4 linked regions of the Rhinolophus ferrumequinum genome follow. The protein of the gene in region 2 interacts with the protein of the main gene of each other region in a pairwise test. Links are inferred from orthologs where the notes say so. Each region holds a gene or a part of one and is shown on either strand. Other genes may lie near its edges. The genes, in order: ACOT7, CAMK2B, CCM2L and RAP2B.

Evidence for each region.
Region 1: the proteins of CAMK2B (region 2) and ACOT7 interact in binary tests that used the Homo sapiens proteins (3 or more experiments, as listed by UniProt). The two-hybrid records come from large-scale screens. The link is inferred for Rhinolophus ferrumequinum from reciprocal best matches to the Homo sapiens genes CAMK2B and ACOT7.
Region 3: the proteins of CAMK2B (region 2) and CCM2L interact in binary tests that used the Homo sapiens proteins (3 or more experiments, as listed by UniProt). The two-hybrid records come from large-scale screens. The link is inferred for Rhinolophus ferrumequinum from reciprocal best matches to the Homo sapiens genes CAMK2B and CCM2L.
Region 4: the proteins of CAMK2B (region 2) and RAP2B interact in binary tests that used the Homo sapiens proteins (3 or more experiments, as listed by UniProt). The two-hybrid records come from large-scale screens. The link is inferred for Rhinolophus ferrumequinum from reciprocal best matches to the Homo sapiens genes CAMK2B and RAP2B.

The regions. Positions count from the first base shown.
Region 1 is NC_046292.1:3,884,665-3,892,139, forward strand, and holds the start of ACOT7 (cytosolic acyl coenzyme A thioester hydrolase), read right to left. Parts: upstream 3,017-7,475; 5' UTR 2,687-3,016; coding exon 2,526-2,686; intron 1-2,525. UniProt on the Homo sapiens protein: Catalyzes the hydrolysis of acyl-CoAs into free fatty acids and coenzyme A (CoASH), regulating their respective intracellular levels.
Region 2 is NC_046303.1:208,216-215,947, reverse strand, and holds the start of CAMK2B (calcium/calmodulin-dependent protein kinase type II subunit beta), read left to right. Parts: upstream 1-4,717; 5' UTR 4,718-4,972; coding exon 4,973-5,037; intron 5,038-7,732. UniProt on the Homo sapiens protein: Calcium/calmodulin-dependent protein kinase that functions autonomously after Ca(2+)/calmodulin-binding and autophosphorylation, and is involved in dendritic spine and synapse formation, neuronal plasticity and regulation of sarcoplasmic reticulum Ca(2+) transport in skeletal muscle.
Region 3 is NC_046306.1:22,527,803-22,534,803, forward strand, and holds the start of CCM2L (cerebral cavernous malformations 2 protein-like), read right to left. Parts: upstream 3,009-7,001; 5' UTR 2,950-3,008; coding exon 2,920-2,949; intron 757-2,919; coding exon 589-756; intron 1-588.
Region 4 is NC_046285.1:84,987,463-84,994,554, forward strand, and holds the start of RAP2B (ras-related protein Rap-2b), read right to left. Parts: upstream 2,709-7,092; 5' UTR 2,557-2,708; coding exon 2,005-2,556; 3' UTR 1-2,004. UniProt on the Homo sapiens protein: Small GTP-binding protein which cycles between a GDP-bound inactive and a GTP-bound active form. Involved in EGFR and CHRM3 signaling pathways through stimulation of PLCE1.

The sequences.
Region 1 (7,475 bases), on a different chromosome or scaffold from region 2:
ATTCAAACCCAGGGTGTCAGCGTCCTGAGTTTGCGTCCCACTTTTCAGACAAAAAGAGCCTCCATTTGCTTACAATGCGCCAGTCATTCTGGCAAGCACTAAATGCATTTTCTTTTCTGTAACACTCGGAACAACCCATGAGAAAATGGGGGCACAGAAGAGTTAGGCAGCCAAGTGGCAGAGGCTGAATTCACACCCAGGCGTGGGACTACAAAGCTGGCTCTAACCACTGCCCTCCCCAGCCTTTAGAGCCCCAAGCCCTTCAACATCTCCTTCGGAACCCAAAGCACGTGAGCACTCTTAACTGTGCAGGATGGTGGGGGTTTGGGCATCTTCCCCCTGCTGAACTGTGAAACCCCGTAAGGTAAGGACCAAATTTTCCAGGTCGGTGTCCCTCCCTCAGAGCACTTTCCTCCTTGGAAGCGTCCAGTGAAACTTGTTAAATTCATGGGTTCCGCTGTCCTAGGCCAGGAGGCTCCTCTTTCAACACAGGGTGTCGGCTCAGATATCCTTAAAGGGCTCCCCACACTGGTGTGTCCACTCTTTCCTGTGTCCTGGGCTTTCACTGGACCAAGCCTTTGTGACCAAGCCCTCCCCACTTTGGCAGGCTCACCTCAGCCAGGTATGCTGCCCAAGCATCCCACAGCCAAGGCAGCCGAGACAATATGCAATTGTGAATATGCAAGAGGCAGTCCGGAAAGCACAGTGAGCAAGAAAAGCCCACACATGTAGGCTTGTGCACATATGGAAGTGTCTAAAGCTATCCAAAAATCTATTAATTGTTAGAAGCTGGGGCTTTCAGATACTTATTTTTTAATTAGATTTATTGGGGTAACATTGGTTAATAACATTATGTAAGTTTCAGGTGAGACGCTGGTTTTTAACAAGATAATATGTGTAGCCTAGGTTTTCATCAGCCTGATGAAGTAAATAAAAGCCCAGCTGTCCACAAATAGACTGAAATCAGTATCTTCTTTTTTGGGAGTGCAGTGGAAAGAGCACGGGTCTGGAGACAGAAGACCTGGCAGCAGCTGCTCCTCAGGCTCTTGTGGCTGGATGACCTTTCAGAGGCACTGGGTCTGCGGAAATTCAATTTCCTCCTCCACATATGGGGAGTGGTGGAGATCCTTGCCTCCTCCCAGGAAGTTGGACAAAACAAGCGCGATGAGACAGATACAAGCCCTTTGCAAAGGATCACCCAGCCAATAAGGTCACCCAGCCAATAAGAGGCAGAGCCTGAACCAAGGACCTGATTCCAGGCCCCGCTCTCTCCAAATAGCAGTCACTTCTATTATTTTTGCCCCAGGAACTTGGAGTGGGGGGTGGACAAGACAGCCAAGAACAAAGGGAATGGAGCAAAGCTCCCCCGAAGATTCCCTCTCCCTAGAAAAGTAAAAACTGACCTTGAAGTCAGTAAAGGCCCTGGACTAGGCCAGAAGAGGGGGTGCGGTCAGGGCACCCCACCGATCCAGCACTTACTCTTCCAGAGAGATGTTAACATCCACAGGAAACTAACCTGGCTTGGACCCAAGGTTAGCGTGATACCCAATGCCCAAATTTGTGGAACCTGCCCCAAAACAGGAAGCAGCTGTCACTCTTAGCGGTGCACCACGCAGGACAGGCCCTGTTGCAGGCCCCCAGTGCCTGTGCGGCCTTCGCAGCCTTGCCCTTACTTAGCTCAAGCTCAAATACCAGCGAGCCTGCTTCAGATTCTGCCCAAGGGAATGAAGAGTAACCTTGAGGCTGCCCTCCATCCTCTGGTCGGAAATGAGCCAGTTCCCGATCTCCCGCTTCCTCTGGGGGCCTCCATCTACCTGGTACCCGTGGAGAAAGGCAGGGGTGGTCTGCTGAGAACAAACAATTGCCCCCATTGTGTAAGATGCTTCCAGGCTCAATGGACCATTCCCTCTTAGCAGTAAACTGTTAGAGAGGAAGGATATTTTTTTTTCTTTGGGTTAATCCTGGTTTCCCCTAAAAAAACCTAAGCGGTGCACTAAAAGGGACTGTACATCTGCAGCCCCCGCCCACTCGGGCACCCACCGATGGGTTCGCCGGGCTCCGGACGCCGACCAGCGAGCTGGTTACTTGCGCCCCACATCTCGGGGGATCCGGTTGGCTTTGCACCACTACCCAGAAAACGACCCTGAATTAGGGGACTCAGTGGGACCTGGGCTGGGGTTCCAGCGTGCTTGGGCACCGGTGGGGCGGAGCTGGGCGGGGCGCAGGGGGGCCGCACTCCGACCCCCGCCAGGAAAGGGCGTCGCGCCGAATCAGTGCGCAAACGGCCTGCGTGACCGCGGCGCCGCCCGGGGGATGCGCGGGAGGCCGGCGAGGACGCGCACGAGGAGGCCGCTGTGTCTGCGGCACCCGGGGCGCACCCGGCCGCGGGCGGGCGGGGTCGGGAGACGGACGGCTGGCCGAAGATGATGGGCCTGGCCCGGGGCGGAGGCGGGGAGAGCGCGGAGGGGCAGGCCGGGCCGTGACCTGGCCTTCCGGCCGTCCTTCGCGCTGCGCGCCCCTCTTACCGGCAGATCTGGATGGCGGACGGAGTCTCGGTGGTGGGGCCCGACATGCTGGCGGCAGCGGCGGCGGGCAGCTGAAGGAGAGCGCAGGTGTCTGGCGGGCCGGGCGCGGAATGAATGAGCCCGGGCGGCGCCATGGAGGGGGAGGGAGGAGGCGGGGCCATGGCGCTGGCGTGGCGGGGCCTCCGGGCCGGCAGCGAATCGGATGCGGTCGTCTTGCACTCCCCACCCCTCCTACGTCCCGGCCCCTGGCGTCCGCGGGCTCCTTGGGCGTCGGGCTCTGGCCGTGGGGCGCCGCTTCTAGAAGGTTCGGCGGCGGTTGGGCGGTGCCGGCGGGACGGCCGCGTGGGTCAGCCTCGCCCCGCGCGGTGTGGTTTGTGCGTGGCGTGCCCACCCGCGGCGCCTGCCAGCTCGTGGTCTCACCGTGCGCCCACCGGGCGGGAGAGGCCGGATGCGGAGGCCCCGTGGCCGTTGCGTGTCAGAAAGGCCTGCGAGAGTGAGCGTCAGGGTTTCGCCTTCTACAGTCAGCCCCGAGAGGAAATTGGAGGCGGTTTCCTGTAAACGAGCGTTCGTGGCGGAGCTGCTGTGTAGAGTTGTGCAGGGCGGCACGTGAATGCACAAAACGGGAAGCTAGGAACTGTTAGGCCTTTGCAGCAAGTGCCTTTGCAGCAGCACCAGCCTAGATGGGCTGGAGAGAAGCAGGGAACCGGGGTCTGTTGACACGGCCCACGCTGCAAACACGGCAGAGGGAGCCCAGGACCATAACAGTCCAAATGTTACTGTGTCCTGGCTTCTGTAAAGAGAAAAGGGTGCTCCCGGGTTAACCACTTGTATATGATTGCCAGTTGTTTTCGAACAGGATCTCAGTGGGGGGGCCCAGTCCCTTAGCAAAAATACCATGAGTTATTTTTGCTATAGTGCTGATGGTTTTACACAATCTCTCCCCTTACAGTCTCTCACCTTCCCCTTTTAGTTTTTTCTACTTTCTCCTCAAGCTACTGGGCCATTTCTATCCCTCTCTTTCAGCAAAACTTCTCAGAGCTGTTTATACGTCCACCCTCTCTCCTCTTCCCTCGTCCCGTTCTCTTTCCAACCCATTCCTTTCTGTTTTTATCTCTGCTGCCCAATTATCAAGGTCACTAATTCCTTCCAAATTGCTAAACCCAATAATTCGTGTCAGAAGTCGTTTTACCTGTCTTCTCAACAGCAGACGTTATCTCTCTCAAAACGTTGACTCTGCCTTCCAAGACATCACCCACTCCTGTTTTTCTAGCCACTCTGCTCAGCCTGCTGTGCTGTTCTGCCTCACCTCCTCCTCCTCAGAACTTGACTTAGAGGAGACCCGAGCAGTGCTTGGACTGGAGGTCTCATCCTCTCTCATGACTTTAAGTCCCATCTAGTCAATAATTGCCACATAATCTGCAGCGCAGACCTCTCTAAATTTCAGGCTCATATGTGCTTTTGCCTAGGCCGCAGCTCACTCAGGCTGTGTCATAGGCATCCAACGCTCTCCACCATCCTCATAGTCCCCCAGAATTTGTTCCTCCTGCAGTCTTCCCACTTCAGTCACAATCCCTTCCTTCCAATGGCTTAAGCTAACCTAGAGTCATCCTTGACAACCCCCCCCTTTCTCTCACACCCCTCATCGAACCCATCAGCAAATGTTGCCACCTCTACATTCAACGTAAGTCTAGAATGTGGTCACTTCTCCAGCTGTGGCATTCAAGAATCTGCCCACACCTACCTCCATGTGTCCGGCTTCACCTACTGCTCTCCCTCTCGGTCACTGAACTCTCGCCGCTCTGACCTCCCTGATGGGCCTTTAATATGCTGAGACCACTTGGCCCTAGGGACCCACGTGGCCCACCCTTTCACATCCTCAGTTCTCCACTCACCCTATCTAAAATTCTCCAACACTCCCTAGCCCCCTCCCTGGTTTGTTTTTCTCTTAATTAGCACTTAATACCGTTCAACATATATTTTACTCATCTATCTATTGTGTCTCCACCAACTAGGATGTATGTTCCATGCAAGCAGGCATTTTTGACTATTGTTGTATCCCAAACTCCTAGAAGAGTGCATAGCTCATAATAGATGCTCAATAAATATTTTACGAATGATTGAATTAGTAGTGGTTTACCAACAGCAATGTATTTAACAACAGCAGATATTTAATTCATTATATTTAATTTGCACACTTTTTGGACTAGAAATATACACAAGTTGTTTTAAAAACAAATATATTATTAAAATAATACCTAATATTTATGGAAAGATACGGAAGAACCTGTTGACACCTTTGGAAAAAGGACTAGGGGTAAGGCCTTTACTTCTCATTTATATGTTTTTGTACAGTTATCATCTAACCATTCACCTACGTTATTACCTTTTCATGGTTAATTACGGAGCATCTGATACGAAGCAATAGGAACTCTTATACACTGAGGTTGGGACTAAATTGGTACAACCTGTTTGGAAAATAGTTTAAAATAGTTACTAAAGTTGAAAATAGCCATATCCTTTACCCAGCAGTTCCACTTCTAGGTATTCACCCGATATATTGAGAATGAGTGCACCCAGATACGCTTCAAAGAGGGTTCATAGCAACACTGTAATAACCCCAGACTGGAAATAACCCAAACGCCCATCAACTGTAGACTGGGTCAGTAAATTGTAGCATACTCTTCGATGCAGTACAAATACCCGTGAAAACCAATGAAATTCCTTTACAACAGGAAAGAATCACAATGAGGAAAAGATCCAAAAGGATACATATAGTGAGTGTCCAGCCATGCACAGAAAGACCTAACATTCCATTTGTGCTCTTATCAAAAAGACGAGATAAATGCTGGAGAGACGTGGAGATAAGGGAACCCTTGTGCACTGGATAGGAATGTAAATGGCTACAGCCACTGTGGAAAGCAGTATGGAGGCTCGAGAAATTACAAATAGAGCTACAATATGATCCAGCAATCCCACTCTGGGTATATGTCCCAAGGAAACAAAACCTTTGTCTCAAAGAGATAGCTGTACCCCCATGTTCACTGCAGCAGCATTCACAATAGCCAAAATGGAGTATTATTCAGTTTAAAAAGGAAGGAAATCCTATCGTTTGTGCCAACAGGGATGAACCTGGAGGGCATCATGCTAAGTGAAATAAATAAGCCAGACAGAGAGAGACAAATACTGCATTTTCTACAGTATGTGGAATCTTTAAAAAAAAGAAGTCAAACTCAAAGAAATCATAGAAAAGCGATTTCCAGGACTAGGGGGTGGGGAGAAGAAGGGGAGGTTGATAACAGGGTACAAACTTTCAGCTATAAGAGGAACAAGACCTGAGAATCTAATGTATAACATGGTGACTATAGTTGATAACACTGTGTTGCATAATAGAAATTTGCTAAAAATAAAATATTTGTTAGGAAAACGTAAGTAGATGGCAAATCTGTAAAGAAAAACATGGACATGATTATCACAAAAGTCAAGACAGTGGGTCCCTCGCAGTGAGAGGGAGAAGAGTATGATCGGGGTGAATCCCACGGGGTGGGGAGAACGGGGGAGTATGTTCCCTCTTGACTCAGGCGATGGTGTACAGCTTGATAATTGTTTTTATACAATGCACATATGGGCATTACGCATTTTTGTTATATCTAGTTCACAACTTTAAAAACTAATGTACCTGGGAAGTGGGATTATGGACTTTTTTTTTTCTATGTATTTTTAGGGAAGTAGCAAGCCTAGTGGTTATGGGTTTGGACTATGTAGTCCAATTCCCACGCTCATATCTTTACTATTAGCTGTGCAGCCTTGGGCAAATTACTTACTTACTCTGTGCCCAAGTTACTTCATCAGTAATGCTATCATAGGGTGGTGAGATAGAATAAATATGGGAGAGAAGCAACAAGCATTCTAAAATATTAGCTATCAGTACACTGGTATTAATGTGGCTGCCCCAGCTTTCTTTTGATAAGTGTTAGTATTGTATTTTTTTGTTTTTGGGTTCTCCAAAGAAACAGAACCAGTCGGAGATATATAGATATAGATGGAAAGAGAGAGAGATGGATTTATTATGAGATTGTCAAGAATTGGCTTACATGATTATGGAGGCTGAGGAGCGATCTGCCATCTGCAAGCTGGAGACCCAGGAAGGCCAGTGTTGTGATTCCATCTAAATCCAAAAGCCTAAGAACCAAGGGAACTGATGGTGCATATCCCAGTCCGAGGGCGACACTCACACTGGGGAGGGCCGTCTACTGACTGAAATGCTAACCTCACTGGAAACACCCTCACAGACACCTCCAGAAATAATGTTTAATCTGGGCACGCCTAGGCCAGTCGAGTTGACACATGAAATTAACCCATCGTAGTCTTCTGTCTTTTCACTTTAACCTTTCTGTCTCTATATTTAAAGTGTGTTTCTTCACCAACTTACATTGGGTTACTTACCAAGGCAAATCAGGATAGAGGAAAATTTCAAGAAATCAATTAAGGTTGTTCATTTTCCAAATCATAGGATCCTCTCTAGGGATATTTGGTTTCCTGTCTTTCTTCCTCCATATCTTATTGGTTAGCTAAGGCTTGACCATGTTCCTTCTAATTGACTTTTAGTTTCTTCTCCATTATCACCATCATCACTCTAATCAGATTCTCATGGTCTCATCCCAGACTTTTCAGAGCTGTTCTAACCAAATTCAAATATTTCAAAAAAAAAAAAAAAGTGGGTTAGGGTGGAGTAAAGAAGTGGGCCCCACAGAAGAAAATAGAGACTGTTCCTTGTAGAATTGCATATAGTAGTAGCAACTTGCATTTTTATGCAGTCTGACAATCTTTGCCTTCTACTCGGAGCATTTAGACCATTTATACATAGTGAAATTATCAATTCGTATACTTAAATCTATCATTTGCTATTTGTTTTTCTATCTGTACCATTTGTCCTTTGCTCTTTTTCCCCCC
Region 2 (7,732 bases):
GGTCAAGACCTTTTCCTCAGCACCTTGGAGCTAAGTGAAGTCTTGATTAGATTCTGGCCGATGGGTGTCAGGGGAGGGTCATGTGGCCAGAAGCTGATGAGTGCCCACAGTCCATCCTCCTTTTCGCTATCCGACTCCTAGGGACCTGGACGCAATGGCTGGGTCTCTATGTTGGAACACTAGGAAGAGAGCCAGCCCTGGCAGCAGAGGTGCCCCCTCTGGGTGCTTGGGGGCAGGGAAGTCCTTGGCTGATACACACAGGTCCTCTGTGTCTGCGATGGGAACCCCAGGCCTATAGCCACTTCAGCACGCATGCCCTGTGTGCTTACGGGTAGGAGGTGAGCAGGTGGGCACAGGAGGGGCCTGAGTGCAGGTCTCCTGACTCACACCAAGATGCAGTTTCCACAACAAAACCCTGGCGTCCATGGTGAAGGAGGTACAATCTGGGAGTGGCTCCCCGGCCCCTCCTAGCTATTTGGGACACTGGTGTCATGCTGCCTGAACAGCCCTGGTCGAGGGAGACAATTGTGTGAGCCCAATACAAGGTCGGCGGAGAGATGGGTTGGGACAAAGCCTGGACTTCTGGGGCCCAGCGTCACAGGCATCTCCAGAAGAATGGTGGTGACACCAACCAGGAGGGATGCGATGGAGTTGGACCAGAACAGGCCACTGGCCTGGGGCTTGGGGAGGGGGTCCCAGTCAACCAGAGGCCGGGGAGGGGTTCAGGAGAGGTGGCAGGAGCAGGGCTGAGCCCCTGCCCGCGAGCGGGCCCAGCAGGGACGCCTGTACGCTGAGCGTATGGTCTTTTGCATACAGTGCTGCCCACCTTGGGCTTGGATTCCTAGTGAAAAAGAGGAGGTCTGCAGGTCTGTCCCCTCATGTCCTTCATGCCGGACACTCGCTGTGTCCCAGGCTAACTGGTTAGCTTTGTCACTTTGTTTGTTAGTGTTTAGGTGGCTCAGACTCCCTTGGGGGACTCAGGTACCAAGCAGAACGCGCAGATGAACAAATGATAGAGCATGGCGGTGCCTTGCAGGCCCTCTCTTCCCCCCTTCTTCTTTCCCAACACACCAGCCAGCTCCAGCCACAGAGCCCTTGCATCATGGCTGCTTCTGCCTGCAGTGCCCTTCCCCTATCCTAGTGTCTCTGTCATTCAGATCTCAGCTTAAATGTCACCTCCTCAGAGGGGCTTCCCCTGGCACGTACTCTGAAGTTATCACCCTGTCACTCTCCAGCAAATCACTACTCAGTGTTTTTACATTTGTTTCTTGTTGGTCTTCGGCATGAGCCCACCTCATTCCCAAGTGTGACTCGGTGCTGGGCAGAGCCAGGCACAAATGGCACACAGTAACCACATGAACAAGGCCAGTAGTCACCCTTGAGCAGACACAGTGGCTAAAGGTAGCAGATATAAAGTCAGGCAGATCTGGGTGCCAATACTGGTTTTGTCACAAACTGGCTTTGTGACCTGAGCCCAGTTACAGTCTTTCTGTGCCTCAGTTTCCTCATTTGTAAAAGGAGGCTAACGATAGCCCCTATCTTGCAAGGTTGCTATAACGTTTACATGAGGTGGTGGGTGTTAGACCTTCAGATTTTCCAGTATGTAGTGAGTACATTGTAAATTATAGCTTGGCCACCATCACCTTCGCTGTCACCTCCATCACCACCATTATCACCCCATCACCACCACATCACCACCACCATCACCACCACCACCACCACCACCACCATCACCACCACCACCACCACCACCACCACCACCATCACCACCACCACCACCACCACCACCACCATCACCACCACCACCACCACCACCACCATCACCACCATCACCATCACCACCATCATCACCACCACACCACCATCACCATCACCACCACCATCACCACCACCACCACCATCACCATCACCACCATCACCACCACATCACCACCACCATCACCTCCACCACCACCACCACCATCACCACCATCACCACCATCACCATCATCATCACCATCACTACCAAATCGTCCTCCCACATGTTTGCCACAGCATCCTGCATGGGCTGCCACATCATGGGCCAGGTGATTGGACATGGATGACTGGGATCTTTGTGCTCTAGGGAACTGCAGCATGCTCGTCCAGGCAGATGACTGTGCCTGAGAGAGGTGGTGGCAGTGACATCCCTCCCATAACAGCAGCCCCTGGGGGTGAGGGGACAGAGGATGCCATGGCTTTCCTTGGGGGACTGAGCCCCAGTGCAGCACTTTTGGCTCTGCAGATGTGATGCTCGTTGCCATGGGGACCATCCTAACAATAACCTCCCAGAACTGAGAGCTGATATTCCCCACACCCGCCCCAGCTGCCACCTGGGAGGGAGAGCCCTCCTCACTGATGAAAGCCAGCTAGAAAGGATAAGGGGGGAGGCGGAGATGACATGGGGGTGCGGGTGGAAGAGGTCCCTTCCAAAAGGAGGGATGGGAAGCAAAACCCAGATGAGAGGCCTTCTGGGCAGCCCCAGAAAGAGTTATGGCTGGCAGCCCCTCACTCTTCTAGCTTTTCCACTCTGCGGGGGAGGAGCCCTCTGGGCCTGGAGGTGGGGAGCGAGTTGCTCTGTGAGTGGGGTGAGGGGCTGGGCTGTGTAGGACTGTCAGGGTCTCTGGAGGCTCAGCCGTTCCCCATAATGGTGCTCTGCCCTCAAGGTTGCTCTGCGTCGCACCTTTAATGTTTCAGCCCAGGGGAGGGACTGCGCAGGGAACTTCAGGTCCTAACAGGAGAAAAGGGGGCTCAAACTGCACCCCTTTGGTGACCCTGACTTCTTGTATAACCTTGGACCTGGGCAGCCTCCTCACCCAGGGAAAGGGACCTCAAAACAAAGCACCCAGAGTGCTGCTGTGGAAGCCATGCATGTGTGTTACTGTGTGTATGTGTGAGTGTGCGAGTGTGTGAAAATAAGACGAGGCGTTGTAGAGCAGTGGGGTTTCAGTCCCAAGCATGTTCTAGCTGTGTCACCTCTCTCTCTTTCTCCCTTCTAATAAAATGGGTATAGTAATAGTATAACCCTCCTAGGATTGTTTGAGGATTAAATAAGATAATTCATGTAGAATCAGGTAAGCAAATCAGCGTCGTCATGCCTTTAATGTCACTTCATCATGGCATGGACTCGCGCTGGTACGAGTGTGTGACCTTGGCAGCACCCAGAGTCTACTTGTAGCCTGGAGAGAGACTGATTTGCCCAGGGGTGCAATTTTGTTTTGTTTGCTCTTTGCATTCTATTGTGAGCTCAGAACCACGCAGATGGCCCAGCATGTTGGGGGAGAGGCTCCTGCGGGGTTGAACACAACCCCAGAGCAAGCCTCTGCTGGTCTGTGAGGGGCCTCACAGGAAAGGTGGGTATCGTCTGTCAGGACAGCTGAGGGCTCTGGTCCCAGCACCGTGGCATGGCAGTGGTCTCCCATCCTGCCAACCCTGCTGCAATCAAGGCCATGCCCCCAAAGGCCCCTCACTGCCCCCAGTCAGGACTCACCCGATTATCCTTGGCCTCTGTCTTCTGGGTGCAAATTGGGTCTGCAAAAGCACGCAGAACCTGGACTGGTCCCACCTGGTCTGCTAATCTGTCCGATATCCATGTGCCAAAGGCAACTTGGTGGAGCAGGCCCTGGCTGCCTCCACCCCAGAATCCCTTCGATGTGATCTTTTATCCAGGAAACATTTATTGTGGCCTCTGGGGCCAGCCCTGGACTGGCCACCAAGGTGAGTGATGAGCAGGAGCAGGGCAGGCCAAGTGCCCACCACTGGGAGCCTACCTGCCGTGCTGTCAGTGGCTCACGTCAGGGCAGCCAGGCAACCCAAGTCCAGAGCTAGCTGAAAATTTCCTTCCTCAGGGCCAGTCCAGGATGGGCCCTGGCCCCGGCCGCTCAGGGAGTGTGGGGGTACCAGATCCCGGTGGGTCCTCTTCTGGATCTGAAGTCCCCATTCTAGGCGGCAGCCTGGGCGTGGCCCTGGGGGAGATTCTTCTGTGGAAAATTGGGGTCAGCCAGCTTCTCCTGCCAGCCCTCGTGCTCCCTCCTCCTCCTCCCCCAGGATGGACCCTCTTCTATCAGACCAGAGGAGGTGGGGGTCAGGCAGGTGGATGACGCCTGGCACAGGGGAGAATGTGTCCTCCTACCCCAGCAGGGGCTCAGGACACGAGTTCCCCTGACTCAAGGACCCTGGGCCTGAACTCCAACCGCCCCCTTGCTGGGACCTCTAGTGCAGACACCCCAGCACCCAAGGCTAGGAGGAGTGAGGGAGGGAGCGTTTGGGACCATGGGCAGGGGGCAGCCTCCAACCTTTCACCTCCCACCCCCAGGATCTCCAGTGCGCACTCTGGTTTGGGGGTGACAGGACCATGCGGTGTGCGGACGGGTCAGTACAGAGTCTCCTCCCAGGGGTGTGAGGGATGAATCCTGTGGAACGTAGCACACGTGCCCCCATCCCCTGTGCGCCCAGTGCCCTCTCGCAGTCCTGGGCAAGGTGGGCCTTAAGGCGAGAGGGGGTTGGATTCACTGTGTGGTCTCGTTTGTGTGCGCGCGCGCAGAGGGTCGCCAGCAGACGCAGCCGGCTGTGGTTCTGTGCGTGGCCCTGAGCTCCAAGGACTTGTGTTCAGGGCACATGTGTGTGTGCGCGCGCGCGCGCGCGTGCGTGTGCAGGGCGCGGGTGCGGATGAGGGCGCGGGTGCGGGGCTCGCGCAGGGGGCGGCAGGCGGGATAGGCACGGCAGGCTCGGCGGTGACAGCAGCGCCCGCGCTCCCCGCGCGTAGGTGTGCAGCGCGCTCCTGGCGGGCACGGAGCGCGCAGATCTCGCGTGCGCTCGCAGCCCAGCTTGGCCCCCTCCTGGCGCTGCGAGCCGAGGTGTCGCCCGCGTCCGCGTCGCCGTGCCCGCGAGCGGGAGCCGGAGTCGCCGCCGCCCGAGCGCAGCAGAGCGCACGCCGAGCCCGTCCGTCTCCGCCATGGCCACCACGGTGACCTGCACCCGCTTCACTGACGAGTACCAGCTCTACGAGGATATTGGCAAGTAAGAGCCGCGGCGCGTGCGTGCGGGGCCGGGACCCCGGACACCCGGACCTCCGCGCCGCCAGCTCCGGGCGCACTGCGGCCCGGCGCGCCCCCGGCTCCCACCGGCTCCGGGCCCGGAACGCACCGGCTCCGAGGCCCGGACCCCTGGGCTCCTGGCCAGGTCGCCGGACCTCCGCGTGCTCGGCCCTGCCTGGTCCTGCTCAGCGAGGTCGCCCAGCCAGAAGCCCCGGCTCGGGACGTGGGGATCAGTGCGGCGGGGGCGGCAGCAGGTGTCCCCCGAGCGCCCCGCAGACGTGACGCATTTGGCGGCGGGAGGTCAGAGAGGAGGGGCGCGCCTGGGCAGCTCTGGGTCCTGGAGCGTGAGGGAGGGGGCAGCCGGGGCCGAGGGTCATCCCTGGTGTGGGCCGTGCTGTCCCCACCCCCACTGAGCGGCTGGGCGCGGGGGCGGCAGGACCTGCTTGGGCGCCTGCTCCTCCTCGTGGCTCCATCCGCGCGGGTGTCGTGGGGCGGGGGTGCTCGCTGCGCTTTGGGCCGCGTGAGAACAACCTATGCCGCGGGTCCCCCAGGGAATCTGTTCTGGGGGATTTTCCCGAGATCCTTCCGGAAGGAGGAGTCTGGAGAGCTGGAAACCGAGGTCAGGGAACTGGGGTTAGGTCACTGGGCTGGAGATAAGGCGGTCAGGTGGGGAGCCTGCGGGGGCTCCTGATTTCAGAGTCCTAGAGGTAGGTGGGGGCCGGTGGGGAGGTGTTTGAAGGCTCCTTTCAGGTAAGGCCACATCTGGGAACAGGTGGCTCCCGGCTCTACTCGCCAATGTGAAGGGTGTAGGGCCTGAGCCCTGGCTTTGCGGGGGGGGTTGCATCACGAAGCCCGTCAGGCGCTTCTCTGTGGCCGGGGCTGCTGGCGCCGTGAATCGGGGGGCTTTACCCCAGCCTGCTGCCAATGAGCCCCGTCCTCCTCCATCGTCCTCCATCCCAGCTGCGGAGGTTTCCTCTTACACACCCAGCGGCGGATCCTTTCTTTCTCTTTCTAAACAAATGTCTGTGTTGACACCTTGTTTGGGGTGCATGCTGACCATTGATGATTGTGGGTGCGGAGTTGGGAGGAGGCTGGGGTGCAAATACCCAGGCCTAGGGGCTGCGGGGTGACCTGCAGGGGCCCATGGTGGGGCCAAGGCTGGGCGGCGTACCCACAAACTCCCTGCCCTTGAGTGGGGTTGGTTGGGTGTCGGGCCCCAAGGCGGCTGGACCTGGAAACAGAGCAGAGGTAAGGGCAGGGTCTGCTTTCCCCGGTTCCCACCCACGACACCAGCTGGGGGCGGCAGTGGGAGGAAGGGCATCCCTTCCAGGGGACTTCACATTGTTCTTCACCCTCAGGGCTGCCTCTCTGTGAGCCCCCATTTCCTTGCTGGATGACCCTGGCTTCACATTCCTGTGAAGCTCTGGTCCCAGCAGTGAGTGCTGAGCATGGCAGCTGCCACCCACAGCCACACTGGGAAGTGGGGTCCTTGGGGCTGTCCTGGGGAGCCAGAGCGGGTGGCAGCCCCCACAGTGCAGGTGCACCCCTACCCCGGCCTGAGTGGGTGAAGAGGCCTAGTGTGTGTGTGGGGGGAGGGGCAGGGCCTGAGAGGAAGGGAGGGGAACAGGGATTCAGCTAGGCCTGGAGCCCTTTGTGGAGCGCCCCCAGGTGTGAGGCTCAGCCCTGCTGGGTGACTGCAGGAACTGGGCATTCAGCCACCCCACCCAGGGCTGGGGTCCTCAGTGGCCATGTTGGCTGGTTGTTGACAGTGCCTGGCCTCCCAGAGACACAGTTGGTGTTGCTTCCTGGCCCAGGTGGATGTGTCCAAGTTTATTTAAAGCTGCAGCCCCTGGCACCAGTCAGATGACGCTGAGCGCCCTGCCTGGGAAGGCCAGGCCACTGGCCCACAGCTGCCCCTGTGACGTGGCTGCCAGCTTCTCCGGTCTCCCTCATCCCTTTCTCTACCCCCGCCAACTGCCAGGCATTGTCCACTGGGGCCTGGACTACAGGGTCCGAGGGCCAAAGGAGCTGTTTTCTGGGGCCCTGCCTTTGTCCGGCTGGGCCGGGCTGACGTGACCCATGTCCTGGGTTAAGAGCCACCTCGAGCTGGGGGTCCCCAGACAGGACAGAGCTGGGTAGGACACTCAGCCCAGCACAGAGCCTCCCGCAGTGTGGTTTTAATGTGATTTCTCTTGATTTTAATCTGGGTGGATTTTTAATTTTATTTTTTAAATTTATTGGGGTGACAATTGTTAGTAAAATTACATAGATTTCAGGTGTGCAATTCTGTATCACATCATCCATAAATCACACTGTGTGTTCACCACCCAGAGTCAGCTCCCCTTCCATCACCATACATTTGATCCCCCTCACCCTCATCCCCCACCCCCCAACCCCCTTACCCTCTGGTAACCACCAAATTATGTTCCCCATGGGTGGATTTTTAAAATTGAGAACACTTCCCGGAGTAGTGTGTCTGTTCTGCCCAGAACTTAAAACTGTCCCTCCTCGATTGCCCTTTTGGCTTTAAGTTGTTTTTATAAGTTATAAGCCGTGAAGCATCACAGATCAGTGTGAAGCGCCATTTCCTCCAGCTGCTGTCATGCTCGTGGCGTTTGTCCTCCTTTTTTGGTTAATTTACACACAGATGGAAGTGTCCATAACTAATATATAGGATT
Region 3 (7,001 bases), on a different chromosome or scaffold from region 2:
ACTATAATACCTCGAAAGGACTGACCACCTGTGAATTCCCGCTTGACCTGAGTGGCTCTGTCCCCGCCCCCAAGCACGTTTCAAATGACGGTGCAAGTCACTCACCCTCTTTAGGATCTTGTGGCAGAAGTTAAATGGAAAGGGGAAAATGTTGTATGAAATAAGTGTACAATTTTGTCAGAAAAACTATGTCCCAAATCAATAAATTAATTCTTCATTTATTCTTAATAACTTAATGTTATCACTTAACTTCAGTGTTATTCCATCAATATAATAATTAACTTTTTTCATTATTTTTAATTTTATCCTTCTTGGTGAATTTCACTAATCACACTTTTTCTCTCTTTTTTTAATTCTCTATGAAATTTAAGTCTCCAGTTTTTAAATGGATTTATTTGTTAGCTTTTCTCTCCATAGAGGGTTGCCAGATAAAATACAAGATGCCAGTTAATTTTGAATGTCACATAAATAACAGATACTTTTTCAGTTTGGTTTTTTTTTAGTATTTTTAGTCTCATGCAGTATTGGAACATATATTAACGCTTTTCAACCCAAGATTGTGCCCACCTCTTCTCATTCCACACCCACCTTGACCTCTTTCTCCAGGTAGTCACACAGCAGAATCTGGGGGTCGATGAGGTAGTCAGGGGGATAGAGGGGCATGGAGTGCAGGGGCCGGCGGCTCACACTGCTCCGAAAGGCTGCCCGGCGTGCCGCCTTGGGGAACACCAGCCTCCGGATAGGGGATACAAAGCCCTGGGGAAAGTGGGGGAATAACATTGATAACAGCAACTGAGTTTCTAGAGAACTTACCACGCTCAGGATTTCACTTACATCACCAAATTTAATTCTCACAAAGACTACAGAAGGGGTACGTCCGTAATCCCCATTTTACAGGCAGAAAAACTAAGCCTCAGAGAGAGAACTAGCTGATAAGGTCACCAGCGAGTAGTGGTAAAACCAATTGCTCACCCTGGTCAGTCTGGATCCAAAACCTCCATTCTAAACACCAAGGTGAGGTGGAGGCCCTGCCAAGACCCTGGCTGAGGCAATTACAGAAAAATACTAAGATTCCATGTGGCTGGATGGTGGGTGCATAGGTATTTGTGAAGCTCTTCTCTGTGCTTCCTAAAAGTTAGAAATAGTTAATAAGTACACGGAAGTATAATTCAGCGGGCACCTGCATAAAAATGGCCTGGAGCAAGGTTAAAGGTGCAAATTCCAGGGCCCCTGCTCAGCCCAACAGAATCCAGTTCTCACAGGAAAGTTTGAGCACTACTCTAGAGCATGCAGGTCTCGGTGCGTGATTCCTGGATGCCCGCCGCCACCGCCAGCAGCAGCACCTGGGAACTTGAGAGAAATGTCCGTTCTTGCGCTCTACCTCAGACCTGATGGATCAGAACTTGGGGATGAGACCCAATGATCCAGGTTTTAACAACGGTTCCAGGTGATTCTGATGCATCAAGTTTTAAAACCAATATCAGGGAGCCTGGATGGGGTATATGGAAGCTCTGAGTAATGAGAACAAACGATCTCATTGGAAAGCGCATTCCAGCACGAGGCTTTCAGGCAGATGTGCACAAGCCTAGAGAAGCTGCGTGAGGTCTGCTGTGGCTGAATGATTATGTCAACAAGTCATAGCGTCCTTGATTGCCAGCTATGCAGCTGGGACTTTATCCTGTGTATGTGTGAGTGGGCTGGAGAGGTAAATGTTTTGTCTGTGGCCCTGAATGGTCCTGCTCATTTTACCCCACACTGCCTCTCACTTCCGCCCTCCAGCTACAGGGCCATCTTTCAGTTCTTCCTCCTTGCTATATTCATTCCCACCACCGGGCTTTTGCACGTGCTATTCCTCTGCCTGAAGCATTCTTCCCTATCCTCTTTCCTTCCACCCATCAGATCTCAGCTCAAACTGACCAATCTAGGGCTGAGTCCCTAATATCCTGTCTCCCAGCACCGTGTATGGAACATTTTATGCAATGTTGCATTAAATACTTTGTTTAAAAAATTGATAGTTGCCTCCCCCATGAGACTGAGCTCCAGGGAGGGAGCAGGGACCTTGCCTGGCTTTGCTCATCACTGCATCATCGACGGCACCAGGCATAGTGCCTGGCACATAATAGGTGCTCAGTAAATATCTGTAGAAGGAATGAATCCAGAGAAAACATGCACATCCATCTTGGCTCCCTTCTGAGCCCTTGTGATTCACGAGGGAGCCTTTTGGAACAGCCTGACCTACGTTTCCTGGGAAAAGAGGACTCGGTGGAGCTGAGAGTGGGACTTGGAGTCCGAGGGGCTCCCTGAACTGCAGGTGAGATGCTCAGAGAACCAAACTAGAACTTCTTAGAGTCAGGAAGGAGTGAGAACCTAAGGGGTGGAGGGAATAACCCCTAGGCTGAGGCCTTAGGAGTGAGCTCTGGTATAAAGATGGGGAGGGGCAGACTAGACTGGAACCCAGCAGGGGAGCAGGTATGAGTCTCAAGCCAGAATAGGCAGCGTCAGCACAGAATTGCCCTGGCTGAGGTCCTTCTGTCTGGGAGAGTAGGGAGCAGAGGAATGGGACTGTTGGGTGTCTGTCCCTGGTCTGAGAAGCTGCAGGAGGGAACCCCCAAAAACACCAGGGAAGGAGGTTGGAACCGTCTCCCAAACAAATCTGTCTGGCCGGGTTTCCCTGGAAGGTGCCTGTCTGTTTGTCTGTACATTACAAGGGTGGCAGAAGCCACTGAGAGCAGGAGGAGACCGGTTAAGGAGTTTGGAGCCCAAATGTCTGGCTGTCCAAGGGTGGGGAGGAAGGTCCTTCCAAATGGGAAAAAAGCCCTACCTATGCCCTCACTGCCGAGCACCCCCACCCCAGACTTCCCATTTCCCCAGCTCTGGGGACATTTCTCTGCCCTGCGTCCCTCCCAACCTCCCACCTACCTTTTTCCCTTTCTTGACTTCATATTCCATGGTGAATCGTCCCTTCTACTTCTGCCACCCTACTGGCCACCCCTTCCACTCTCTCCCCCCACACAGCTCCTTTGTTCTTTTTCCTGCCTGGTCGGAAACTCCACCAGCTCTGGAGTTCCTGCCCCTCCTGTCTGATAGTGAGCAGAGGTGGAGGGGGCTGGACGCAGCCTAGGGACCCTTCAGCTCAACAGTGGAAGCCCAGCTCGAGCAACTGACCTGAGGAGACAACCTCTAGGCCTCCAGCCAGAGGCTTGCTATGGAGGGGGCTTGGGAGTTGAATAAGGCTGGGGAAGGGTCCCCTAAATATGGAGTCCGAAACTCCCAAGTCCTACTTCTACTTCTGTCGCTGACCTGGCTGTGTGACCTTGGTAAGCCAGGTCAGTTACCCCTTTCACAGCCTCACTTTCCACCTCCCACTATAAATGGGGAGTAAATGTTGCCTCCTTTCTGGGCTGCTGTGGTGAGAACTAAATGAAAGAGCAGGTAGAAAAATACATCATAAACTATAGAATACTGTGTCCAAGCAAGTTATAATTTAAAAAATTAATTATTACTATTAAGGAAAGCAGTATGCATGAGCTTTGGAGATAGGCGGCCTGAGGTTGACTCCTGTCTTTGACACTTACTAGGGTTATGACCTTCGTCAAGTCCCTTAATCTCTCGTGCCTCAATTTCCCCATCTATAAAATGGGCATAATACCAGTCTGACCTCATAGTGAACTTGTAAGGATTAAATGCACTTAGAAGAGCTCCTGGCACATATGAAGTGCTTAATAAATCTTAACTATTTACTTTCCTATGTGTCTGTGTATCCTGGGCTATTTTACTGTCTCTTGGGAGAATATTAGGGAGGCAAGGCTCCCTTTGTAGTTCTGTGCTGAGCACCTTATGTATTTCATCTCACTTATTCCTCATAACATTGGGGTACCATTATTATAGCCATCATACAGATTTTAAGAACAAGCTCAACTGCAGAGGCTGACCCAAGAAGGTCACACAGTGAATAAGAGGAGGACCCGGGATTTCTGCCAGCTCTGGATCTGAAGCCAAGTTTCTTACCTCTAGGGCCAATGCACTCCGTATACCCCACCCAGGACAGTTGGAAAGGTTCTGATTGACCTGTCTTCCCCTTGCCATGACACCTGGGTTCCAGAGACCCACACTCTGGAACTGATTTGCTGTATGATCTAGGACAGGTTACTTATTGTAACCTCTCTGGGCCTCAGCGTCTTCATCTTTGCAATGGGAACAATGACCCCACAGCCTTGCCCTGCACTCAGAGATGTGGCAAGGAGACATCAGGCCCTGGATGAGAAAAGTGGTTGGAAATTGTGAAGTGCAGGGGCCAATGCATAGGATTGTTTTTCTGAAAGTGTGGGTGTGCCAGGTCAGTGCCCGTTGGAGCAAGGGTCAGAGCTCCCACTGCTTCTGCGTGTGAGGGCCACAGAAGACTCCTAGCCATTAGCCTTTCCCCTTACCTCCCTTCCTTTTTCCGGGGAGGGGAAATGGCCAGCCTGCTTAGTGCAAGCTCACACAGCCACTCCCTCCTGCTTCTCTACATCCTGCCAGTCACCTCCCAGCAGCAGGAAGGGAGATCTCCATGAGCCTGTGGCCAACCGGAAAAGGCCAGGATGTTGCTATCCCTGACTGTTCCTGACATCAAAACTCCCATTTAACCCCTTGAGCAAATCCCGAATTCCCACCCTCAGAATGGCAGCAGAGAATGAAAGATGGTCTCTTGCTCTGGCACCTCCATGACTGGCTTTTGCAAGCCTCTTCCTCTCTCTGAGCCTCAATTTCCCTATCTGTAAAATGGGGACGCTTATTATTCCTGGACTAACTCCAAACATCACTGAGCTTCTGGGCTTCTCAAGTAGGACAAGAAATGTTCTGAATGCCACTAGAAATAGCAAACTATCCATATTCTCTGCAGTGCCCACCCCAGGGCTATGAACTAATCAAATGCTTAGTAAACGTCAGTGGAAGTAGGTGGAGGAAACAGGTGGACCTAGGTTCAAATGTGTGTGACCTTGAACAGGTAGTTCATCTCTCAGAGCCCAGAGTTCTCATGTGTCAAAAGCAGGATAATGATGGTGATTGCCTCTGCTGCAGGAGTTAAATGAAAATAGTAGCATACAGTGGTAACATTTATTATTAGCTTGTGAATCATAAAACAGTTGAATAAAATAAAGTCCCTGCTTTCAAAGACAGTTGTGGCAAATAGGATTCATCTTGAGCCACTTCCAGTTGATTGGCAGGGGCTGCTTGGAGCTCTGTGGAGAGGATAAACACCAGATCTACTCCCAGAATGAAAAAGGATTGATTATCGATGCCTGCCATGGGACAGGAGGGGGGCACATGGCAGCTGGCGTATCATGCATATGCCGACCCTGACCTGGTTAGAGAGAAAGACACATAGGCAAAGAACTCTGAAATACGGCAAGTGACTAGTCTGGGAAGGCAGACTCAGGAGTCATTCACCAAGCCCGTGGTATTCAAGCCAAGCCTTGAAGGACATGTGGTAGGAAGGTCTAGGCAGAGGGAATAGCTTGAGCAAACACATGGTGCCTGAGTTGCGATGCTTTTGGCTGCAAAGAATAAGCTACTTGATCAAAGGTGGATTAGACTAGGGCGGCCGGATGGCTCAGTTGGTTAGAGCACGAGCTCTTAACAGGGTTGCCGGTTCAATTCCCACATGGGCCAGTGAACTGTGCCCTCCACAACTAGATTGAAGACAACGAGCTGCCGCTGAGCTGTCGGTGGTTCCCCAATATCCCCTCCTCCCCCCCAAAAAAGTAAATAAATAAAATAAAATTTTAAAAATTTTAAAAATTAAATTAAAAAGGTGGATTAGACTACAAGGACAATTTATTATCTCTTCAGACAAGACGTCCAATGGTGAGTGATTCCAGGGCTGGTTAATTGAGCATCTCAAAAATGGCATCAAGTTCTTTACATTTTTCTGCTTTGCTGGTGGTATGGACTGAATTGTGCCTCCCCAAATTTATATGTTGAAGCACTAACACCCAGTAGTACTTCAGAATGTGACTGTTTTTGGAGATAAGTTAAAATGAGACCAAAGAGTAGGTTCTAGTTTAATCTGACTGGTGTCGTTTTGCTTTGTTGTTTTTTAATTTTTAATTTTTTATTATTGAGAAACAGCATGTTTCTCCAGGGCCCATCAGCTCCAAGTTGTTGTCCTTCAGTCTAGTTGTGGAGGGCGCAGCTCAGTTGCGGGGGGCGCAGCCCACCATCCCATGTGGGAATTGAACTAGTAACCTTTGTTGTAAAGAGCTCGTGCGCTAACCAACTCAGCCATACAACTCAGCCATCCGGCCGCCCCATGGTGTCGTTTTAAGAAGAGGCAATTTGGACACACAGACACCACGCATGCACACATGGAGAGGAAAAAACACGTGAGGACACTATGAGAAGGTGGCCGTCTGAAAGTGAAAGCAAGAGGCCTCAGAAGAAACCAATCCTGCTGACACCTTGATCTTGGATTTCTAGCCTCCAGAATTGTGAAAAAATAAATTTCTGCTGTTTAAGTCATCCAGTCTGTGTTATTTTGTCACGGCAGCCCTAGAAAACTCATATAGCCGACAAGATGGCTGTTGTGGCTTTAGGAGTAATACATCCTTCCTTAGCCTGCTTTTGATGTCATCAACCCTTGTTGAAGCCAAGGGTTTCCCCTTCTTGTATGTCTTTTTATTGTAACAGAAAACCTTTCTTAGAGATTCTTCAAAAAACTTTTCTTAGGAACCTCAGGGTCAGATGTATTAGCCAGGATGTATTTGGGCTATAACTAAGATTGAAATAACAGTGGCTTAGACATAGACGTTTATGTCTTCTATCACTTAAGAGGTCCACAGCAGGTATAGGAACTCCGTGTATGCAGGACCCAGGGCCTTCCTACCTTCTTACTCCACCATACTATGGTTTTGCTTTCGACTTCAAGATGGCTCTCCACACAGCTGTAGTCCAGCCAGTTGGAAGGGCAAACAGAGCCAGGGGAGAGCACAACCCCTCTTTTTAAAGGGATGATCTGGAAG
Region 4 (7,092 bases), on a different chromosome or scaffold from region 2:
TTAGATTTTTTTTTTCCCTCTTCCTTTTAAATCTAATGATCTATTTCCAAATCAAAACCTCAGAAGGGTTGAGATATTGTCTACAACCCGGACAAAATGTACTGCAGAAAACACTATTAGGTATATGACTTCAGAATAGAAATCATCTTCCCCAAACATCCTTTGGAATTGGTAGGTGACCTAATTTAAACAAAACAGTAAGTGCTACTCTGCCTGGTCAGGTGGATGGTTACTTTCCCAGACCAAAGGCAGGCAGTATTAGCATTTGGATTCTCCCTTCCTTACCTACAGTGAGGTAAGCTGTTGCTTGTCAGCAGAACAAATGTAGTAAGCCGGCATGGCCACACCCCAGGGCTTCCTAGACCTTGATGACTTTTCCTATTATTTAAGGATTTGGGAGTAATGTCACTCAAGTTGCCAATGAGTTACTTGTCTTCAAAATCTGACAAACACCTCTTGGGGCAGGCACGACCACCTGCCCTTGTCCACCTCAGCCATGATACTGAATATGAAACACAGAAACACAAACAATAGTTTTGGGTTTCTTTAAAAATGACATCTGTATTAAAAGTCTTAAAATGACGAGACAATGTGTCTGGAATTAAAAATTACAATTTGTTAGAATTCTCTTGGTACATCACAACAGTAAAATTTTGCTCTTAGCTTCTGGAGGAACACCCTATTAACAGATAACCAAAAGAATTTAATGATAATATAAAAGGGGAGCTAAATACCTGAACATTTGAACAAAATGAAAACGAAAAAAAATAGAAAAGAATAGAAACCATTGCAAGACATGGAAATTACATGTTAAAGGCTGGACATAATGAAGACATTCACAGAACAACAGGACCTATTGTCCTGTCTCCTTCAGGAAGATTACTGAAAGGAAACTGGAAAGTGGTGTGGGGAACAGCAGATTCTGGGACAGGGTGGGAAGTTCACAGGTTGGCACCGGCTGGAACAGCTGAGTTTGGAAGGCACTCTGCAGACACAGGGGTGCTGGGGGCCCTGAATCACATTTGTGAAGTCTTTGTCCTGTATTTTAAAGAGCTAGTCATCAAAATCTGTTACTGTCAACCAGTAAGAACAAAAAACTAAACTTAAAGAAACACACACACACACACACACACACAATAGTACACACAAAGATGTGCAGATCTGTAACATTTTTTTTCACAGCTGATAAAAAAAAATACTACCGTTCTCCCCCAGACTCCCCTTTGATACAGTAGGTAAACAAAATAGATTTTTTTTTTCCCACAAATATCAGCAGACACTTTCTGGCACCCCACACTGTATTGGCATCAGTGTTAACAAGTCAGTTCTGATGTGCAATAGTTCAGATTGGATACACTGTAACAAGAATCCAACTTTGCATAGACATCCTCAAATCGCAATCAGTCACGGGGTTGCCCTTCCAAGCTGGCAGAAAAAGAACCTGATCATAATTTCCAGCTACTCCTGGAAAACAAGGAAAAAAACCCAAAAGTTTCTTCCCCTCCTCCTGCTCCTTCATTTGGTTCTCCCGGACTTCCTTCCATGTATTTAAAACTTGGAACTAGAAAACGGTTTTGTTGACAAAAAAAAAAAAAAAAAAAAAAAAATCCCCCCCTTTCCACCTTCTCCCTGTCCTCTTTCTCCCCCACCCCATTTTTTTTTTCCTGGTTGAAACTTTCGCTTGCTGGTGTCAAGCTGCCAATACAGCGCCCTAAACGCTACTTACAGGGGGAAATATACGTCAACCAAAATCAATGAGAAACGTACATGCTGCAAAGAGCCACATTTCCACCGAGTCTCGGATGGTCAGGACCGGATACCCCTTCGGACAAGGGGAGGAGGCTGGGGACGCCGGCCGCAGAGGCCAACCGGGCTCCCGGGTCACCCTGGCCAATGCAAAACCGTCTCCAATCTCAAAGCAAGAAGAAAAATCACATTTAGAGAGTCGGGTGCGTTTGGCTTTTGTGCGCAGAGCGCGGCCGGCGCGCGGCGGCCACCGGCGCCTCAGAGGATCACGCAGGCCGAGCAGCAGCCCTCATCGCCGTTGGGCTGCGCCGCGTAGTTCATCTGCCGCACGATCTCGGCGAACAGCTCATCCACCGAGGCTTTGTTTTTGGCCGACGTCTCCATGAAGGGGCAGCTCCACTCCTCCGCCAGGGCCTTGCCCTCGCCGTACGAGACCTCGCGCTCGCCCTCCAGGTCCACCTTGTTGCCCACCAGGATCATGGGCACGCGCTCGTACCGCTTCACGCGGATGATCTGGTCCCGCATGGGCTTGATGTCCTGGAAGCTCTGCTGGTTGACGAGGCTGTAGACGAGGATGAAGCCCTGGCCGTTCTTGATGTACAGGTCCCGCATGGACGCGAACTGCTCCGTGCCCGCCGTGTCCAGGATCTCCAGCACCGACGGCGACGAGTCCACCTCAATCTCCTTGCGGTAGAAGTCCTCGATGGTGGGGTCGTACTTCTCGATGAAGGAGCCCGTCACGAACTGCACGGTGAGCGCGGACTTGCCCACGCCGCCCGAGCCCAACACCACCACTTTGTACTCTCTCATGGCTCCGTCGGCGCTTTCACCGCGCCTGCCGCGGCCCCGTCGGGGCTGCGCGCCGGGGAAAGGCTGGACTCGGCGGCGGGACTTCTCCCCGTCCTCAGCTCCGTAGGAAAAATCTAGGAGACTGTGGCTGGGGAGCGCAGGACGCAGCAATCACCAAACGGGGGCCGGACGCCGGGCCGGCCGGCGGCGGCGCGTCTCTGGGGCGCGGGTCCGGGGCCCCGCAGCAGCCCGCAGCGGCAGCCTTGGCTCGGACCGGGAGGACAATGCCGGCAGCCTGTGCGAGGCGACGGCTGCAGCTCCTCGCCGCGGCAGCCGAAGAGGACGGAGAGGCGGTGGCGGCGGGGTGCGGAGGTGGCTGCTAATTGCGCGCCGAGCTGGGACGCTCGTGGCATGAGTCCCCGCAGAGCGTACGCCCACCGCCGCGGCCCATCGCGCTCTCTCCCGCAGCCTCCGCGGGGCGAGGGCTTCCTACTCGCCGCGCGCAGCCGGGCCCTCCCCACCCCCGCGAGCATGCCCAGTGCACCGCCGGCCGCGCCCGCCCGATCCGCTGCTCCTGGTTTTCCGGGGGGCCAAGCAGGGGGCGGGGACGTGGGTGGGGCTTGCGATTTGAGTCCGGAGGAGCGGATTCCGGAGAGGCGCGAGTCTAGGGGCTGGATGGGAAGTGCGGGGGGTTGGTTATGTTGAAGGGGGGCTGGGAAAGCTCAGGTAGGAGGATTGGAGGCCGCGTTCTTTCACGGCGCTGGGGTTCCGCAGAAGGCGGCGGCTCTACGAGAAGCTTGTGGGCGCGAAGGCCCGCCCCAGGGGCGGCCTCTGCTGCAGCGGAGTCCCGTTTATCAAAAGCCCGGGGACTTCACTCTCAGAGCCCCTGCGGGTGTGCGTCTCAGGGCCGGAGGCATTTGGGTGCCAGAGCGGCGGGTGGAGCAGCTTCCCCCGCCCACGGCGCAGCTCTTTTCTAAACCGTTCGCCTGGGAAACGCCACTCGCCCTTCTATGGCCAACTCTGCCCGCACTTCATTCCGCGGACAAAGAACACGAGAACGCTGGTTCTGAACCACCGTCCCGACCAGGAAACGGGCAGCCTCCAGTGACCGCAGTCCTCTCTGGGCTGGGACTTGGAGCGTCCCACCCGCCTCCCGTCTGGACTGGAGCGGAACCTGGAGACCGGAATTCCACCCCGTCCCGAAGTGGCGGCTGCTCCCGCAGCCAGTCAGGGCATGCTCAGTGGGCAGAGCAGGTTTTCGGGCTTGGAAGTAGGAAGCTTTTGCACCACACACCCACACTCCAGCTCAAATTACCTCTCCCAGCCTCGGGACCCATTGGTCCCGGGGCGCAAATCTCACACCCCCAACTGTTCTTCCATTGGCTACCGCCAAGGTTTTGTCAGTTTGGGCTGCTTCATTGGTTAAAAAGTAACCTCCGCTCTTGATTGGTTATTTATAGAGCTGGAGTTGAGAGGCGGAGGCACAGCTGTTCTTTCTCTGCTGCTCCCCCGCGCCCTTCCTCCCACTTCCCCAACCTAGTCGTTTTGAAGCTAAGAGTGCAAAAATAAGAGGAATTTAGGCGGAGAGCTCAGAGCTAAATATAGTCCTTTGTTGGTGTTTTTGAGAGAGTCTGACTTCTCGGTGCCCAGTCACGACTGTCCCTTAAAAGGAGGAGAAAGGGCTGGTTACAGTTCTTGGTCCATAAGCAACAGCAAAGTTAACAAGTTTTTGTTGTGTTTTGTTTTTTGCAGAAGGGGTAGAGGGGCTAGGATGTGGAAACGGGCCACTTTGAATTCTTTCCACCCGGAGAGGTGGGGGGACGGGGAATGCCCAGGCTTGTCTTTAGAAAACGTCTTCGCTTGGCTCAGCTCACACGGGAGGTGCAAGGGAGATGCCTCGACTTGCCCCGAGTCTCCCTCCTTCCTTGCGGAGGAGAGATGTCAAGACCTGTCAGAAGACTTAGAGAAGTTAGCAGGAGCACCTAGATGAAGGGGTGGGAGGGGACAAGGCTTTGTCAACCCTGGCTCCGTGTCCTGACGTTTTTATCTGGTGTCACTTCCCACTGGTTTAACCGCCCGCATCACAGGGATGAACCAGGCGGTGTGCTGTGTGCTAACACTTAGTTTCAGTTCCTGAGCCCCGCCCGATTCACGGCCACGTTTGCGAGGTAACCTTTTCCGAACCCCAGGCTGTAGCTCGTACTGTGCATGTCTGCAGCCCAAAGTCCTGGGCCACCGGATTGGCGGGATGTGGGCAGCAGCCTACGCCTTGGATGGGGGTGGGTAGTGCCCACCCCTGTGCCTGGCCCCGCTATTTAGTGGAGAAAGGAGGAAGGTTCAACCTTGATGATCAGAGAGCTTGGATATAATTGTGCTTATATAATTCTCCAGATAACCTAACTCGAAGGCGAATTCACCTAATACAGCTGGAGAGAACCTCACCTTTAACCAGTGTTTAATGTCTGCCAACCTTTTTAACACGTGCTATCTTATTTACTCCTCATAATGATTATCACATCTGTTTTAAGACGAGTAAACTGAGGCCCTAAGACAACTTACTTGATATTTCACAGCTAGTGAGTGGCCAAGCTAGGGTCCCAACACAGGTGTTCGGCTGCTGTAAACAATTGGCCATACTACTACTTCACAAGAAAATTCCCAGATTTTACTCTTAGATTGAATCTTGAGGTAGTGTCATCAGACTGGCTCTTAAACCCAAGCAAAAGGAACCTCTGCCCACCTCCACCTCTGCTTACCTCTGGCAGTGCCCCTTCTCCACAGGTCAAAGAGCCCACACACTCTTCTAGACTATGCTACAGATCATCAGAATTCTGGAATCTTCTGCCCAAATGGTACCAAACCCTATTCCAGGATCTGCTTGGGGCTCTGAACTCATCCCTGTGTTTGGGAATGGGTCTTTGTTGACAGAGTGTGGACAGGGCTTGGACCTGTGGGCTGAGGTGTGTGCCCTGCAGGGCACTTGGGGCCCCTCCTTAGTGCAGGAAGAGGGGTACCTTGGAGTCAGCCCTCCCTTCCCTGCCACCTTCCAGCTTGGCCCGCCCTCAGAGGAGTCTAAGAATTCATAATTCACACCTGGCCCTCCAGGTCCTTGGGAAGAGGTGTTTGTCAAGATGGCAGGATAAATCATGTTGTGTTTAACAGTTTGTTATCTTGATTTATGACTTAAATACTTAGATGAATGCTGTATGGGCCTTTATTTGTCCTCTTGCCCACAAATGCTAGGTGTGGTGCTGAATATGGTACAGTAGAAAATGCTTTTCTATGTAGGCCTGGTGGCTAATCTCAAGTATTGGATATCAATTATCTGAGACCTTGGGCAAGTCCCATAAGCTCTCCTGACCTTAGTTTTCCTGGCTATAAAATGGTGATAAAATTTAACCTACCCACTTAACTATACAAGGAACCTTGGAGAGAATCTAGTGACCAAACGTGTCATTTTATATCAGAGAGAACTGAGCAGAATTAGAACCCTGGTGTCCTGGGCTGCCCTTTTCATGGTGCCAGCCTGTCCTCGGGGGTAATAATTAACAGATAATGGATGGAAATGTGCTTTCAAAGCTGCAGTACCCCATAAATGCATGACAATTACCACCTAGACCCAGGGGCCCTGACAGCCCCACCTAGGAAAGACTATCCTCAGGAATCCAGGCATTGTTGTGGATGGGTATTATTGAATCTTGGTGCCCTCTCCAGTACCAGAAAGATGCCACAGTTTGAATACTTTCTAATTAGGGATTCTTCAATAGTAATTTTTACTACATTCAGATGGTCTCCCACAGAAAGATTTGCACTGTGGCTTTGGGGTTCAAAATGAAATAATAAAGTTGCTGATGCAGAAAATCTTAAGGGTGGTCATTTCCTCTTACGAAATCTGTCAGGAGTCTTTATTTACCTTACTTATAGGTCATTATATATCCCGTACAATAATTATTTATATGGCTGTGTCTTGTCACCCAGCATCATGTGAATTCCTTGAGGGCAGGGTCCATATCAGATTATTTTTGGAGCCACCTCTGTCCCTCAGAATACCCAGTGCAGTACCTACATAGGAGGCCGTCAATACATATTTATTGAATATATGAATGGCATTTTCTTCAGTTTCCAAACTCTGTTTGTTAAAAATTATATTAATTCTTGGTGAGACAGAACATTTCCTGGATCCTTAGAAAATATATACTATTTTTTCAGTCCTCCTGAGTCACAAAGATGTTGGGCGATCAAAGTCTACCCTTATTTGGGTGGAAACACTAAATCAGTGCTAACTTGGGGAAAGTGGCCAAGTGTTCAGTGGACAAACCTTTTCTCTGAAGAAGACTTCACATTTGCAGATAACATGAAGAGGCATTTCTAGAAAACAAAAGTAAGAGCTACCAGGTAAGCACTGCTCAGCCTTTGGTACTGAATTTACATAGACGAGTGTCTCTGGCCTTTGCTCACACAGTGGGATAGCTGAGCTTCTGTGACACTGGAGTTGGGCCTTCAAAGAATTAACTGGTTTGTTAGAACATGAATCTTTTAACTCCTCAAGAAAATAAG